3 linked regions of the Saccharomyces cerevisiae S288C genome follow. The protein of the gene in region 2 interacts with the protein of the main gene of each other region in a biochemical or structural test. Each region holds a gene or a part of one and is shown on either strand. Other genes may lie near its edges.

What was found. The genes of interacting proteins can lie anywhere in the genome.
Region 1: the proteins of POB3 (region 2) and HTA1 form a complex in vitro, tested with the Saccharomyces cerevisiae proteins (3 studies listed by BioGRID).
Region 3: the proteins of POB3 (region 2) and SPT16 form a complex in vitro, tested with the Saccharomyces cerevisiae proteins (6 studies listed by BioGRID).

What each region holds. Positions count from the first base shown.
Region 1 is NC_001136.10:913,690-917,672, reverse strand, and holds HTA1 (histone H2A), read right to left. Parts: upstream 2,144-3,983; coding exon 1,745-2,143; downstream 1-1,744. Other genes in the region: chromatin-silencing protein SIR4, read right to left, coding at 1-102; adenylate kinase ADK1, read right to left, coding at 519-1,187; HTB1 (histone H2B), read left to right, coding at 2,961-3,356. UniProt on the Saccharomyces cerevisiae protein: Core component of nucleosome which plays a central role in DNA double strand break (DSB) repair. Nucleosomes wrap and compact DNA into chromatin, limiting DNA accessibility to the cellular machineries which require DNA as a template.
Region 2 is NC_001145.3:132,322-138,950, reverse strand, and holds POB3 (FACT complex subunit POB3), read right to left. Parts: upstream 3,452-6,629; coding exon 1,793-3,451; downstream 1-1,792. Other genes in the region: ITT1 (RBR-type E3 ubiquitin transferase), read right to left, coding at 7-1,401; DAK1 (dihydroxyacetone kinase), read right to left, coding at 3,722-5,476. UniProt on the Saccharomyces cerevisiae protein: Component of the FACT complex, a general chromatin factor that acts to reorganize nucleosomes. The FACT complex is involved in multiple processes that require DNA as a template such as mRNA elongation, DNA replication and DNA repair.
Region 3 is NC_001139.9:97,405-103,820, reverse strand, and holds SPT16 (chromatin-remodeling protein SPT16), read right to left. Parts: upstream 4,853-6,416; coding exon 1,745-4,852; downstream 1-1,744. Other genes in the region: CHC1 (clathrin heavy chain), read left to right, coding at 1-1,278; SIP2 (Sip2p), read right to left, coding at 5,236-6,416. UniProt on the Saccharomyces cerevisiae protein: Component of the FACT complex, a general chromatin factor that acts to reorganize nucleosomes. The FACT complex is involved in multiple processes that require DNA as a template such as mRNA elongation, DNA replication and DNA repair.

The sequences.
Region 1 (3,983 bases), on a different chromosome or scaffold from region 2:
GGATTTTTCTTCTCTTTCAGGAATTTTATCATTCGGGGTTACTGGTTTTTTAGTAAACTTGGGAGTGCTGGACCTATTGGGTGTCTTATTGTCATTTGGCATTGGCTGTTTTCTTCGCTTTTTTGGTATTGTGGGTTGAAGCTTCCTTTTTTTTTTTATCCCCTGCAAAACGATGTCCAGTTAGAACTCTGACTGAATTATAAAACCTGAAAAGCGCTTATTTCGTTATAGGTTTATAAAAAGCTTCACTATTACTGTTATACCGTTTTTGTTTATGTGATGCGCTTTTGTTCATCTATTTAGTAATATGATTTGCGTTCGTTCTCAACGATAAAAATATTGACTAAGTACTTAATGGCAGTGCACATGTTTAAGGACGTTATAGCCAGTTACAAACACTTATGTTATTATTTCATTTATAGTATACTGCGGATATATGTACTCACATACAAAAATTTATTATATTTTCATTAATTTAAAAAAAAGAAAAGATATTTAGAAGACATTGCGCAAGGTCATTAATCCTTACCTAGCTTGTTCAAGATGTCAGCCCAAACAGTAGCAGGAGGTTGGGAAGCATCAACACCAGCCCAGATACCGGTCTTTTTGTAAAAGTCAACAATTGGTTCGGTTTGAGCATGGTAAGCAGCTAATCTCTTCTTCAAGGCGTCTGCATTGTCATCAGATCTTTGAACTAAAGCTTCACCGGTGACGTCATCCTTCATGTCTTCCTTTGGTGGGTTAAAGATCTTGTGGTAGGATCTGCCAGAGGCTGGGTGAATTAATCTACCGGTAATTCTGGCAACCAACAATTCATCATCAACCTTCAATTCGATGGCTTTTTCCAAAGGAGTTCCTTGTTCTTTCAACATTTGGTCCAATTTTTCAGCCTGAGGAATGGTTCTTGGGAAACCGTCCAAGATGAACCCATTCTTACAAGCTGGATTGTTGGTCAATTCATCCTTGATCATGTTAACCATAATGTCATCAGAGACTAAACCACCTTGGTCCATAATTTTCTTTGCTTCCAAACCTAATTGAGTGCCCTTTGCGATTTGAGATCTCAACATGTCACCAGTGGCCAAGTGAGCGGCATGGAAACGCTCTTGCAAATTTGGAGCTTGAGTACCTTTACCGGCACCAGGTGGGCCAATTAGGACCATTCTAATGGATTCTGAGCTAGACATTACTGTTATATTTGATGCTGTGTGGTGACTTTACCAGAGAAACGTTAATGTTTCTTTATTAAAGCTCTCGTTTCTGATAAACCAGGTAATCCATTTCAGAAATTTATGCGTATATATATATACAAATATGCGTAATAAAACTAGCCAGAGTGAAAAAGTCGAAAATCAAAAAAAAATGGGCGAATAAGGACAGAAGCCGCGGGCTGCTGCGGACAGTTCTCCGTGACAGGATCGCGCAATCGTGAGCTTTTTTCCTTTGGTTGTGAAAATTTCGTCACACTATCAAAGTGAACAAAGCACAGAATGTGTTTGCTACTCAATCATGTTCAAGTAAGCAACAGTGCCCAATGAACCTAAACAGAGCAACAGAGAAAACAGGAAGACACAACAAAAAATTTATATCATGCATGACATATGTTACCGTTAATTATATACCCAATAAATTATATATAGAAAAATAAAAAGGAAAAACAGAAAGGTCTAATAGACACTTAATATAGTTACAATGGAGAAGCAGTTTAGTTCCTTCCGCCTTCTTTAAAATACCAGAACCGATCTTATAATTCTTGAGAAGCCTTGGTAGCCTTGGCAGACTTCTTTGGCAACAAGTTTTGATGGATGTTTGGCAAAACACCACCTTGGGCAATGGTAACGTTACCCAATAGCTTGTTCAATTCGTCATCATTTCTGATAGCCAATTGCAAATGTCTTGGAATAATTCTGGTCTTCTTGTTATCCCTAGCAGCATTACCAGCTAATTCTAAAATTTCAGCGGCCAAATATTCCAAGACAGCAGTCAAGTAGACTGGAGCACCAGAACCAATTCTTTGGGCGTAGTTACCTCTTCTTAGCAATCTGTGCACTCTACCGACTGGGAATGTCAAACCAGCCTTAGCAGATCTAGATTGAGAAGCTTTAGCAGCTGAACCAGCTTTACCACCTTTACCACCGGACATTTTATATTTTATATGTATGAAATTTGTTTGTTTTGAAGTTGTTTATTCACTGAGAAATAACCAAATCCGTATGATGATGTAGTATCAAGAAGAGAAGTACAGATTGGAAGTAAATAGATGATGGTTCAACAAGACCAGAAAATCTACAAGCTGATTAGGAGTCTTATTTATATATTTTTTAGGTCAAGACTTATTGCTAGTATTTACGATCCACTGGCTGGCTTCGTGAACGGGGAAGGGGGTGAGAAAAGATTTTGAAATCAACAAAGTGGGCAATAACAAATAACAGCATGAGAAACCACATATCTCTACGGGCGTTTCTTCAACAACGACGAGTTAACTATTGTGCTCTTTTTTTGAGCCACCAAATACACTCCATTCCAATAGCTTCGCACAGTGAGGCGAAAATTTTGGAACAGCGCTAATGAATTATTTGTGAGCTCGGCGAGTTCAAATTTGAAGAAAACGCGGTTGGGTCGTTAACTATGGTTAGACGCTCAATGTCGCCCGAAAGGGAAGGCTGTTCTCACTTTTTCGCGCGTTGCACCCTTTCTTCCGCGAAAAAATGAGAACGATGGATTTAAAATCAAGAGAATTGGCCTTAGTAGTGGCAAATACTACCTTGGTTGGTTATCTTGTAACGATTGGTAAGAAAGGGGCATCTCTGTTTTCTTGATGTATATAAACAACATGATTTGATCATCTCAGATGGTCAGATTTATTAAAGACGTTTCTCTTTCCGCATTTTCGATTATTGTTATATTAAATTTATCCTATATAGACAAGTCAAACCACAAATAAACCATACACACATACAATGTCTGCTAAAGCCGAAAAGAAACCAGCCTCCAAAGCCCCAGCTGAAAAGAAACCAGCCGCTAAAAAGACTTCCACTTCCACTGATGGTAAGAAGAGAAGCAAGGCTAGAAAGGAAACATACTCTTCTTACATTTACAAAGTTTTGAAGCAAACTCACCCTGACACTGGTATTTCCCAAAAGTCCATGTCTATCTTGAACTCTTTCGTTAACGATATCTTTGAAAGAATCGCTACTGAAGCTTCTAAATTGGCTGCGTATAACAAGAAGTCTACTATCTCTGCTAGAGAAATTCAAACCGCTGTTAGATTGATCTTACCAGGTGAATTGGCTAAGCATGCTGTCTCTGAAGGTACTAGAGCTGTTACCAAGTACTCTTCCTCTACTCAAGCATAATGAAATCACTTCCTTTGGTTATAATTAATATTATTATTTATATGGGTATATAAAAATTAAAGTAAAGTAAAAAAAATTGTATAATAGTTTAATAATTTTAATGATTATAAGATATTTACTCGGTTGTAAAATTGTGTTCTCGAAATTACAAATGGTCTCATAGAGGGAATGCGCTTATGCGGCAAGGCAGTTTACTTGTAAGACTAATTATAAGAAGAATAAATAGTGTTGCTTATTAATGACTCAGAAAAGTTTCCACATGATATTTATTAGCTTTCGAAACTTCAGAGCATTGGCTCGTGTGAACAATACTAGATTTTTCCTCAAATTTTAATTCGTATTGCAGTTGCTAACTATTACAATTTTTGTTTATTTTATGCCTTGGAGATTGAACCCTCTGTTGTGATTAACTTCCTGTAAAAACTCCACGCAAGAAACAAAATATAAAAATAAAAAAAAAATTGGTAAAAAAATGAACAATAGAATACGCACGTATAAAAAAATACTAAAAATAAAATAAATGCCACCGACTCTATAAGTACACAGCAATAGTAATTAAAAAAAGACAGATGTCGCTGACTGGATCGTCAGCTGCACTTCAGTATTCCTTGATCCTCTCTCAAGTGG
Region 2 (6,629 bases):
TCGCACTCAAGTTTCTGTGCCAGGCATACCTTCAAACAATCGTCCATAACAGCCTGAATATGCTTCTCTAAAATGTTCATAAGGGTCCTCAGGATAAAGTAATACTCCGCATATAAAACAGAACAGCGTCCCGCATACTTCGCATTTCATTTTATTGCAACCTTCACTTCTTTCTACAACTACCTTACACTTTGGACATCGCTGCAAATTCGAACCCTCTTTTTTAATCGCTAAATCTAACATTTTTTCAGCAAGGTAATCATTGACTTCAAGTTCTAATACTCTTCTCCCATATTTTGCCTCCAGTTTCCGCTTTCTCTCATATGAAGTAACGGTATCATCTAGATATTCCTCAATAATATCGGTCGATAACGAAACTTTCTTGCCACATTTATTGTTGTAACCATGCCAGGCATGCAAGCAGTCAAAGCAAAATACAAAATGACATTTTTGACACTGAATCATCGCATCATCGAGGTCTTCTTTTGTGCACCAACTATCACATCTTCGACAAGTCACACAAGCATACGGACAATATTTTGAGAGTCTTGTAGCCGCCTGGTTGTAGAACATTTTTTCGTATCTTTCACATAGCTCTGTATCGATAACCTCTTTTAAGAAGGACACTGGAATCAAAGGTGTAAACAATGCCTTCAGCATTTTTTTATAGCTCTTGAAATCTTCTAGTTTTAATTCTTTGTATTCGCATTGTGGACATCTTACACTGGATATTCGGTTTTCCTGAATCATTGCAGTGAAATAAGATTTGGCGCATCCTCTGCAAAGATAGTGTTCTACATTCGCATTTTCACATGGCAATTTGATCATTCTAACACCCTTTTCCATTTCCATACAAATACAACAATGGTAGTTAGATCTGCTCACTTTTTGGAGGGTGGCTTCCTCACTTATCTGCTTAAACAAGTCATACTGATCCTGTGTCAGGCACTTTCTTATTCCATTAGGGAATAGTAATATAGCTGTATCATCTATAAGAAACCCAAAGATGAGGATAAGGATGGAGGTAAACGAATCCGCGAACTCAATACTCATATCTACAGTTTCTTCAACGAGTCTCAGCGCTTTGTCAATTAACATCTTCTTTTCATCTGTTGATATCCATAAGGATTTGATATCCATAACAACACACCGTCGAATGTCCGGATAATGACAGCTATATATGGTGAACTCCACGCATTCATTAGATAAGTTTGAAAGTAACATATGTTGCTCGCCGAACTCAATATTTACATCGGCCAATAGTGATATCTTGAACAGTAACTTTCCGTTAATTCTTTGAGGGAATTCACCTTCCTCCTCTACTTTTACCGATTTCATTTCCAGTTCTGGGTACATATCTCTTAATATTTCCAAATCATTTTCAAACTGAGTCAAAGCCATTTTACTCCCTGGTCTTTCATCAGTTATATTAGTTTTCTGTAATTCGTTATTCTACACCATGACATAACTTACTGGTGACTAAATGAGAAAAGCAAAGTCCCTTTCTCTTGCTTGTTATTTATTTTTGAACCCTTTACACTATTTGTCTTTTTTTCATCACCCAATCGAAAAGTTGAAAGTATTTTTCAAGCATTGAAAGGGTAGAGGAGATTAACAAAACATAAATATTTTGCAAAACAAAACCAATTTCAAATAAATGTATAGAATAACACCAGTAATTAAGAGGTGGTGTCTTACACTCACCATGTCATGATAATATCAATTGGCAAAATATATTAGTTAGTTTTTACACAATATCAATAAATTTAACTTATACAGTCTAAAATTATTACTATTCTACCTTAGGCTTCTTCGAAGGCCTTTCTTCGTCGCTACCCCCCTCAGCATCACTTAAAGCCGCATCTGAATCAAACTCTTCTGCAACTTCGTCTGCGTCATTATCAGAGCTGACCTGAAAATCCTCATCTACTGATTCATCATCTTCACCAGCGGAACCCATATTAATATCCTCTTCGTCACTGTCTGAACCTAAAGCGGTTTGTAACCTTTCTTGTACCTCTCTATCTTCATTCTTCACCCTTAGGTTTTTAGACTTTAGGAATTGTTCCAATAATTGCTGCTCTTCCTTACTGATGTTGGCAAAAGTGGTAGAACCTCTATTTGAACGCAGTACCACTTCCAAATCAAACGTCCTCGATGACGTAGAAGTTTGTCCTGCTCTTGAAATGTTTACCATGCTAACATCACTGAATGGTATGTACAAAGTTGGCTTAGTTAAAAAGAAGAAAGCGTTATCTAATGGATACAAATAACCTTCGTTTGCTTTGAAAGAACATGAAACTGCACACTGATCATATTTGGATTTATATTCTCCAGGAACAATGACTCTACGGTCAGTCAGACCTTTTAATACATGACTTAAAACTATATGAGTTTTAGCATCATATTGTTTTTTCAATTTATCCTTATAATTTTCCTCATAATCTTCATCTTCTAGATTCAATTGCACTTCTGTTTCCTCATCTTTCTGAAATTGTAAGACAAGAAAGGGGTAGGTGGTCTGTCCTTGACGTAAAGGAGGTTCAATTGCCAAAACCAATAAGTGATGGATATCATCTGCCTTTGGTAACGAAACAATTCTTTGTATTTGACGATGTTGCAATTTGTATTCATAGGTCTTACCCCTGAGTCTAATGGAGTTCTTGTAAATATCGATATCATAACGACCTCTTGGCGTGGTAAAAAAGACGTCTTGGAAGGAAACTATTGCATCACCAGCGACTTCCCCGATGTCTGCCTTTTCCTTTAGTTCTTCATAGAATGCTTCTGCCATACTCTTTTCCTCTACTGCCATTTGTACATCTTCTCCTTCAGCACCATCTTCTTTCTTTGGTACGACCTCGTTGCTTGACTCTTCCTTTTTGGTCATGTTTTCATCGACGTTTGTTTGAATAACACCAGGAATATAGAACCTCATCTCTACCAATTCGTCACCGGCTGGTTGGTACTCTTCATCTTGAATATTAAATTCTATTCCTACTTCATTTTTAGAGGTCAAATTTGTATTATTTATTCTAGCATAAGGAATTTCAAAAGTTGGTTTACCATTTAAAGCAAAAACCATTTCATTCCTGGCAAGGTCTGTCTTACCCCAGTTCCAACCACGTAAGGAATGTTCTCTTTGCTCTACCTGAATATTAAAACGGCGATGGAAATCATTCTTGATTAAGTTATAGTCATCCTGAGAAAATCCATCTAGTTGGATAACACCTTGATTTTTGGTATTTATCTTCAAGTCGTAACCCCTGCAGCCCCTACTCCATTGGACGGTAGATAATTCTGTGGCTGGTAATAAAAATGGTTTTCTTGCCTGATTTGCTGCAGAGCCACCACTGGTACTAATTTTCCACCCTAACCCAGAATCAGCAATACGGAATCTACCGCTAAATTTAGATTGGTTCAAGTAAATTCTATCAAAGTCGGTACTCATAATTCTTGTTCAACAATACTAGATTGTTCCTTCACTTGTTAACGGTATTTCCTTCTTGTTCTTACCACCGATTCAACATCTAGCTACTCTCATACTATGTATATCTCTGACACTCGCGTTAACATTTCACCAGTTTAACGATTCGTTTCGCGTTGAACCGGGTTATACAATCGTTCTTCGCGATGATAATAACAATAACTCCAAGAAAAGTAAGCTTTTTCTATATATATATATCATAAGTATCTTGATATGTATTCGTGAGCCAAGTACTTACAAGGCGCTTTGAACCCCCTTCAAAAACTCACATAGGCCTACTGCACCAGGATCTTCTACTTGAGATGAATCGCCGACATACGAAGCTCTGCCAAATTTGGCCTCGAATGTAGCAGTGGATTTAGCACCTTCCTCTGCAGCTTTTACCGCCTTATTGAAATCCTTAGATGCAGTAAATTCTTTAACGAATGGTTCTAAAGCATCAATCATGGTGGATGATCCCTTCCTTGCCTTTGTATATTTGTATAAAGTATCCAATGCAATTCCGAGTGACTTAGCCACAATTTCCTTAGTGACGGGTTCATCCTTTGATTTACAAACCTGAATTAATCCGTGTGAAAAACCCGACAAAAGAATAGAATATAAACCACCAGAAGTACCTCCCATTGAGCCTTCAATGAAATCTGAAATTTGGGCAACCGCCTGAGATAATGAGTCCTTCGACAGCTTGTCAAGGTTTTCGGTGATGCCTTTAACTCCTGCCACTAAAGTGTAACCACAATCACCATCACCAACTTGATTGTCTAGTTCCGTAATGTGCGGTTCGCTCTTGATAACTTGTTCAGCACCACTCTTCATCCACTCAGCAAACTTGTCAAAGTCATAGGTACCGACGGCCTTTGCTGTTACTTCATTATGTAACAAGTCATCGTTAACAGATGGGGCAGAAGTCTTTTCAAAATCTGCAATTGGCCAGCCCGGTGCGTTCGTAAATGCGTTCAACAAGTCTAGTACTGATTTGATCTCCTCAAAATCAGATTGCAAAGCCTTTGTAGCCTTAGTGGCGTTTAGTAATGTGATACTGAACCCATTACCATTGAAGGAGGTCATCAATGTGCCAGCAATTGTTTGAACCGGGGTTATGTTGTAATTTTCCTTTAAGAAATCCGTAGTTTTGGAAGTGATAGAACTAATAACAAAATTAGAAACACCGCCGAGATTGTTAACTAACAAGACAACTTCATCATCTTCATCAAACTTTACAAAAGCTCTATCCTTATCGTTTGGATCCAATAGTTTTGGTAGCATATACTTGGAGATCAAGTCTTCGGTAGAAGGAATAGGGTCTAAAACTTTCACACCAGGTTCGTTATGAATACCCATACCCAATTCCATTTGTTTTTCGTTTAATTCACTTTCGAATTTCCTGCCAGGAACTTTACAATGGTCTAAAGAAGATCCAATGGTCACCAAATTGTCGTTGATAATTTTAGCCACTTTAGCTGTACCGTCTAAGCCATACTTACTAGAATATTCTTCTGCGAAGGCACCTACAATCTTATGAACCAAAACGGTACCTGCCAATGCTCTTCTACCAACCATACCACCCTTTTCTCTGCCAACTGCAACATCATCACCTATGACAGCAACGCGGCAGTTAATACCCAAGGCTCTTGCTCTCTCAGCGGACAGACCAAAATGCAAAACATCACCTGTGTAGTTCTTCACAATCAATAAAACGCCAGACGCATTTTCATTGACTAAACGGATTGCATTTAAAATCTGTTTTGTTGAAGGGGATGCAAAAATTTCGCCAACCACGGCGCCACTCAACATACCCTTACCAATGAAACCGGCGTGTGTAGGTTCATGTCCACTACCACCACCAGAAATTAATGCGATCTTGTCGGAATCGGTCTTTCTGAAGAGAATTTTTTCTTCAGGGACCAGCGTAATGGAGGGGTTAGCAAGGGCAAACCCTTTGAGACTTGAATTGACTGGATCTGTGACTTCAAACGATTTAGCGGACATTTAAAATTTAGTCTTAGATATAGAATGTAATCTTATTCTTTGATGTGTTCGTTTACAGTTGCTACAAATAGTGACTACTTGTAGCGAAGTTGAAGTGATTTTCTCCTTATATATTTATTCATCAGTTAGTTCGACAGACGCTCGCGAGGTGGCCACTCTTTCAAAATGACGCAATTGGGAGTGGTTTGATCTTTCTCCCTTAGAAGCCAAATTGGCAAGCACTCACTCCGGGCCAGATTTACACCATGTTTGTAGCGCATTTAAATCAGGAAATGCATTATATTTCACTCTCTCGTCTAGCGAGTCTTAATGTTCATGACGGGGGAGCTTTATGCCTTGTTTTTTATCACAGCGCCAGACAATTGACAGTAACAAATAAAGGCAAAAAACCCTTGAATAGCACCAGAGGTGTTTACTGATTGCTTTTAAAGTACGTATAAAACTGTAAAATATAGATTAAATTCGACCGCCATTACTTTAGAGTTGAAATTGGGAAGCCGTATATTGCCATTTCAGCCATGCTTCTATGGTTCCTAATGGAAGCATGAATGACATACGCAATTTGATGAGCTTGAAAAGGGCGTAATTGACAAGCCAGATTTGAATCTAATCCCTTGAGAAATTATCTGCAAGTAGTAAAAAAATCTCTAAAAGATGTATAATTGAGTCGCCTAGAGACCTCATTCATCATGATATTTGACACCTTAATTTTGATAGTAGCGGGTCAGTCATTAAGAAGAAAGTGAGCTGGGGCTAATCATCAACGATCTCCCATAATTACGTACGTCAAAGACAACACGTTGGCAAAGGTAAGAAGAACGTAGTGCGTATCATGCTTACGGTGAATTTCACCCTTTTTTTCTGTTATTCGTGCTGATCCACGGGGTATTCAATTGAAGATATTATCTTTATCATCATATCGGTAAGCGTCTGGGAGAAGCAACTGGTCAAACGTTTTCAAAAACCATTCTTTAAACAACAAACCGATCAATGTTCTTGATCAGCTTATCAATCTATCCGATCTCCTGCGTTCAGCGTGACCGCCACACTTATGTCTAGATAATTTAACTTCCAGTTGCTAATTTCCCGCTAAAGTATCTTATGTTTACCATCACTGTAGCCGCCCTATCATATGCAACACTTCCATACTCAT
Region 3 (6,416 bases), on a different chromosome or scaffold from region 2:
AATTACTCCAAGCTTGCTTCTACCTTGGTTTACCTGGGAGATTATCAGGCTGCTGTTGACACTGCTAGAAAGGCTTCAAACATTAAAGTTTGGAAACTGGTTAACGACGCTTGTATTGAAAAGAAAGAATTCAAGCTGGCTCAAATTTGTGGGTTGAACTTGATCGTTCACGCTGAAGAATTAGATGAACTGGTGGAAAGGTATGAATCAAACGGCTATTTCGAAGAACTGATTTCATTGTTTGAAGCTGGTTTGGGACTTGAAAGAGCTCATATGGGCATGTTCACTGAATTGGCCATTTTGTATTCCAAATATGAACCAGACAAGACCTTCGAACACTTGAAGCTATTCTGGTCCAGAATAAATATTCCAAAGGTTATTAGAGCTGTCGAACAAGCTCACCTCTGGTCGGAATTGGTCTTTTTATATGCTCACTATGATGAATGGGATAATGCTGCTTTAACACTAATCGAAAAATCAACCAAAGACTTGGATCACGCCTATTTCAAAGAAGTTGTTGTCAAAGTTTCTAACTTAGAAATCTATTACAAGGCCATTAATTTCTACGTCAAATTTCACCCATCATTACTAGTTGATCTTTTGACCTCATTGACACCAAGATTAGATATTCCAAGAACTGTCAAAATTTTCTCGAAATCCGACAACTTGCCTTTAATCAAGCCTTTCTTGATCAATGTCTTACCAAAAAATAACTCAGTTGTCAACCAAGCCTACCACGATCTGATGATTGAAGAAGAAGATTATAAAGCTTTGCAAGACGCTGTTGATTCTTATGACAAATTTGACCAATTGGGATTGGCATCTCGTTTGGAATCTCATAAGCTAATTTTTTTCAAGAAAATAGGAGCCCTGTTATACCGTAGAAATAAGAAGTGGGCAAAGAGTCTTTCAATCTTGAAGGAAGAAAAGCTATGGAAGGACGCTATTGAGACGGCAGCAATCTCTCAGGATCCAAAGGTAGTGGAGGCTCTACTCACATATTTCGTTGAAACCGGTAACAGAGAAGGCTTTGTTGCTTTGCTATATGCTGCTTACAACTTAGTGAGAATTGAATTTGTTTTAGAAATATCATGGATGAATTCTTTGGAGGACTACATTAAGCCATTTGAAATCTCCATAAAAAAAGAGCAGAATGATTCCATTAAGAAAATCACCGAAGAACTCGCTAAAAAGTCCGGATCTAATGAAGAGCACAAAGATGGCCAACCTTTGATGCTGATGAACAGCGCGATGAACGTTCAACCCACAGGATTTTAAGACGTGGATAAAATAATTCGTTTGCTGTACCCCATCGTGTATTTTTTTTTTTTTTACCGTTATTATTTTGTTTGTTAGCATCTTTGATTATCTGAGGGGATTTCAAAATGCCAATAAAAAAGACCTTATGAGTTCTGTATTTTTCTTAATATTTTCGAGAGAATTTCCCAACTATAAAATTGTAGATTACAGGAATAAATAAATTGCAGAAACTAAAATGATTGAAACTGCCTTTTCAATTTATATACTTTTATATCAAATTATGTTCAACTCTAGTAGAGTTTCTTTTATTACGCAAACGTCCTATGACCTTGACCGTTAGCATTGAGTGTACATTCAGTCCATTTACATTTCTTAGCATTGATAAATACTATGCCTAAATACCATCATTATTTTTCAGATACATAAGAGTAATTTTCTGTCAGATCAAGGTCTTGCTGGTGAAACCCAGTAAGTGTTATAAAGTCTAATCTCTAAAGTTTGCACCCCTATCAGCCCTAGCAGCCTTTTTCTCTAATTCATCCCAGTCTTCACCTTCCTCACTCTCGTCGCCAGTATAGTCCTCACTTTCATCACCACTAATATCGTCATCCACCTCTGATCCTTCTTCATCTTCAGAAAATGCGCTTTCATCACTTACGTCGTCTTCTGAAGCCTCATATTCACTAACTTCTTCTTCACTTTCATCAGATGCTTCATCATCTGAACCAGTAGCCAGAAAATTCCAACCACCATCTAAGAAAAACTGATATGGATCATCTTGTAATGACTTCATAATAGTTGCCCAATTCAAATTGATTGTTGAGACAGTGTAAGGAATATCCATATCTGTTAACCACTGCTTCAAGAAATCTAAAGATTCGATCGGAACTGTATTGATATGAGTGACGGGTTTATTGAAATCTTTATAAACAAAAACCATGTCGAAGTTTTTCAAACCAAATTGAACTCTTTCTAAAATACAGATTTCGACTTCCTCTAGGTTAATCACCAAAAATGGTGGTTCAATCAATTGAACTAAACAATCTGTAGTTGGCATACAGAAAACTGCCGATCTATTTGGGACACCTTGGAAGCCCAAATCTCTAAATGTATTCTCCACCGTCAATAAACCGTTTGATGCTTCTGCGATTGCGTCTGCAAAATACTTAAATTCTTTATCAAGCGCAGCTCGTTTTCTTCTTTCTTCTTGTTCTTGTTCCAGCTCATCCTCATCACCATATCTTCTGAATCTGGATTGACCTCGTCTTCCACCTCCAGTTTCATCGACGGACATATCAGAAGCTTCACGATAGAATTGGACGTCTTGTATTTTCTTTTTACCCATTAAAATTGGATTCTTCAAATGAATATGAATGACGACAATTAATTCACCTTTACAAGATTGAAAAATTAGATTCTTAATGTTTGAGAATAATATGTCTATTCTGCTATCAGTCCTTAGTGGGGATTGAAATCTGATACCATTTTCATGGATAAAGACAGTACTAGGTACACGTTTTGTATCTGGATTTGGCCTCACAAAAATTTGATCCAGTCTTTTCGTTCTTCCAGTTTTATTTTCAATCAATTTGTCCTGTTGAACAACATCAGCAAGCGCCTTACGTTCTTGCTCTCTCTTTGTGGCTTCTTTTTTCAAATCTGCAATTTGTTTAAAGGTTTCACTCATGCGGTCACCATCTTTGGATCTTAGTGTAATCGAACGTACAAATTGATTGTCTGCTGATTCCTCATACGGCAATTCCTCCACTTTTTTAGAAATACCACCAGAAGATCCCGGTGAATTAAAGTTCAAACGTAAATACGTATATTCGCCTTCTTCGTTTTTAGAACCATTCTTATATGAATTTATATGAAATGGGACTGGCCTACCGTAAATGGGTAGAATAATTGTTTGGCTTTTCCAGTCGACATGAATTCTTAGATCACGAATATTGGTTGGTAGTTGTGAATCCCGAACATAAGATTCATATTTTTTGAAGTATTGACGAGGTTCACTATCTGGGCCATTGGCATCAGCAGCACTAAATCTGAGTAATCCATTCTTTTCCAATTTTTCGTGTAGCTTCTTTTGGTTTTCTTTACGAATTTGCTCCTTTTGAGCGTCTTCGGCACCACCACGGGCTTCGCCACGTAACTTTGTTCTTAAAATTTTGGAATTTCTGTCTGGTTTACTAGGGACTTTGGTGGCAGGTGAAGATTTCTTTTTATTATTGTCTTCTTCTTCATTATTGAAATAAAATGATATCTGGGATTTGGCTTTGGTGTAATTTGTTAAGAAGCGTGGAGGCTCTGTTTCATCGAGAGGAATTTGAACCGTATCAGCTAATTGTAAAGCGTAGTTGTTAGCACTTTGAGAATCTTTCAGATTATTGAAACCAAACGAAATATTAAAGCAGTCACCGCGTTGGATTTTACGGTAATCATTCTTAACATTTAATATAAAGTTAGAATCTCTAAATTCGAGACCAATCAATGAACCAATGTTTTTGGTGAAATTGGGCACTAGTTCAGGTTTGGTTTTTTCGATGTATTCTATTACTGATTCATAAACTTCTTTTGGTGTACGGCCGGGCTTCAGAATGTTAGTTACAATTTCTTTTTGCAAAGTTAATAGAAAATCGTAGTTGTTGGCCATTTCTTCAGATGGATCGATCAAAAAGGTCCTAGTAATATTAGAACAATAATTATTGTAACGAATACCACATGAAGCTAAAATACAACCGTTGCCGTACAACTGATCATTGGTAGAACGGGCAGAAACCCTAAGATCAAACTTTTTCCCGGACTGAATGATTGGAGAATAGGTCCAATCCAATAAATCAAAGTTGAATTTGTAGTTTGGTGGGCATAATGCGCTTAAATCGGGACTCAATTGCTTCAAAAATTTCACATCATCAATTTTATTTTCAATTTTGTCTGATAACTTGGCATTGGTGATTTTCAACTCCTCGTCAACTGCCCGAACCATTTCATTGGATAAAAGGTCCATAAATTTGTCCGACCCCTTACTTGAAACGGACAGGAAGGCTTGTTCGTTAACATCCTTCACTTCCCAAACTTTAGAAAGACCCAGCGAAATATCAATGACATTGAATTCGTTCTCCTTCACAGCCGCTTCCCATACTGGGTTCCACTCAGTCATAAATTTACCTTGGTAAGAGTCCTTTTCAGGGATACCCACTGTTTTACCAGCGCTATTGATTAAGGCAATAACGTCATCAAATAACTTTTTATTGAGTTCTGGTTCTTTATTGTTTCTTTGCCACAATTCCAGCGTAATTTTGCTTTCAGGGTCTTTAAATAGATCAATTGCCTTTTGTAAATGCTTGGCCTTGGCAGAACTAGTAATTATAATAACCTTTCCGGGAACTAATGCAATCAAAGTAGCGGGAAATTCGTAACTTAGCAACCAATTATGCAATATGGTCGTCTTCTGGTACGGGTTTTCAGCGTTGGACGAACCTAAAACAAACAGCAGCGAATTTGGAGAACCTTCAAACTCATTGTACTTGGAATACAACAATTCAATCCTTTTCTTAAATACGTCAAAATCAATATTCAGCTCTTCCATATTCACTTAAATACACGAAGCCAGTTCACGAAAGGTGCAATATCAGAAAGGAGTAAAGTTGGAATAGCTGAACTTTTTACCTTTTAGTCCCGTGACTCTCTTAGCTACTTTTATTCCTCTTCTCACCAATATTAAGATTTCAATATTCTTTCGTTAGAAAAGTGGCGATTCTCATTTTCCGAAAAAAAAAAAGATCACGCGACTTCCGGGTATTAGTATCGTGGTTTGTGATAACAATAAGCATTGAGAGTACTGAGCCCATTAGTAAATCATTATGTTATATGCTTCTATATCTCTGCTTACACTAAATTGGAAATAGAAATTAGTGTGCCATAGCTGCCAAAAATATATACAATACGCCTTTAAAAAGTAGGAATCCCGGATTACGAGGACTCTATGGGCGTATAAAGAATCTGGGTGACATATTTCTGTTTATATCGAACGATGGAGGCTACACAAAGTGTATTGTGCTTAATGCTACTAGTAACCAAGTGGTTAAGCACCACATGGTTCGGAATGGGCAGAGCGCCTGAGTTGTTCTCGTTGAACTGGTCTTGCGTGGCATAGTATTTATTCAAGATAACATTCTCCAACTGAGGAGGTAATTGGGGTGGTGTCAGCCATGACGTATCAGTATTGCTTTGCTGACGATCCAAGGTATAATAGTATCGTTCCATGACAGACGGGTCAGTAAACACGGCGGGAATGTCTGTTGTATATTCCAACGGAGGTCTGGGTGACAGATCTTCATGAAACCTTGTATATCCGTCACCAAAATCGTCTGGATCCTTACCAATTTGTAGAGCAATTGAGGATCGATCGCTGGTGGGAGGTCGCATGGAATCTGCTTCCTTGGACCTTATCTTTTCGTTAGTTGGGTTTTTTTCTGGTTGCCTGACTTCTATGTAATTGACGAAGTTTCCCATCTGATCAGTTGCTGTGGGCAGGAAATCACTAACTCTAAGCTCATTATCCACTATAAATCTGAATCTATGTGTGCCTGGAAGCAGCCTTAGCTTCACATGAAATGAGCCATTATTGTCAGAATCAGGTATCAAACCGATCATTTTCCTCCATTTGGTGAATGAGCCTGTCACGTAAACTTTTGAACCACCTTGCTGCCACCTTATCTCCACGGGAACCATTAATGAGCTCTTGATTTCACTTGGACCTCCCGAAGCTTCTTTGGCACGTATTTGCTGTTGTCCCTCCTCTCTGGGCGAAGAATGGCCTGAGCGATCATCATCAGGACTGGCATCTTGCTTGGGCTCTGTCGTCTGGGCAATAATATCTCCCTCTTCATCATCGCTAGTAGACGAAGACCCAGAGTCAGTGTCCACAGCAGTTTCCATAACAGATAGCTTTGGCATAGTGGGCTCGTCCTCATCACGCAGCAATAACGTCGATTTTTTTTTGGTAATAGATCCCTCCCTTGAAGGCTGCCCCGCGTCTTGGGAATCTGAACATTTATTTAAGCTCAGTTCAGTAACTTTCTTGCTCACAGCATCCATTTCTTGCGGTTCGCAGCCTTGAGCATTGCTGGGTTTTTCTCTAACGTCACTCA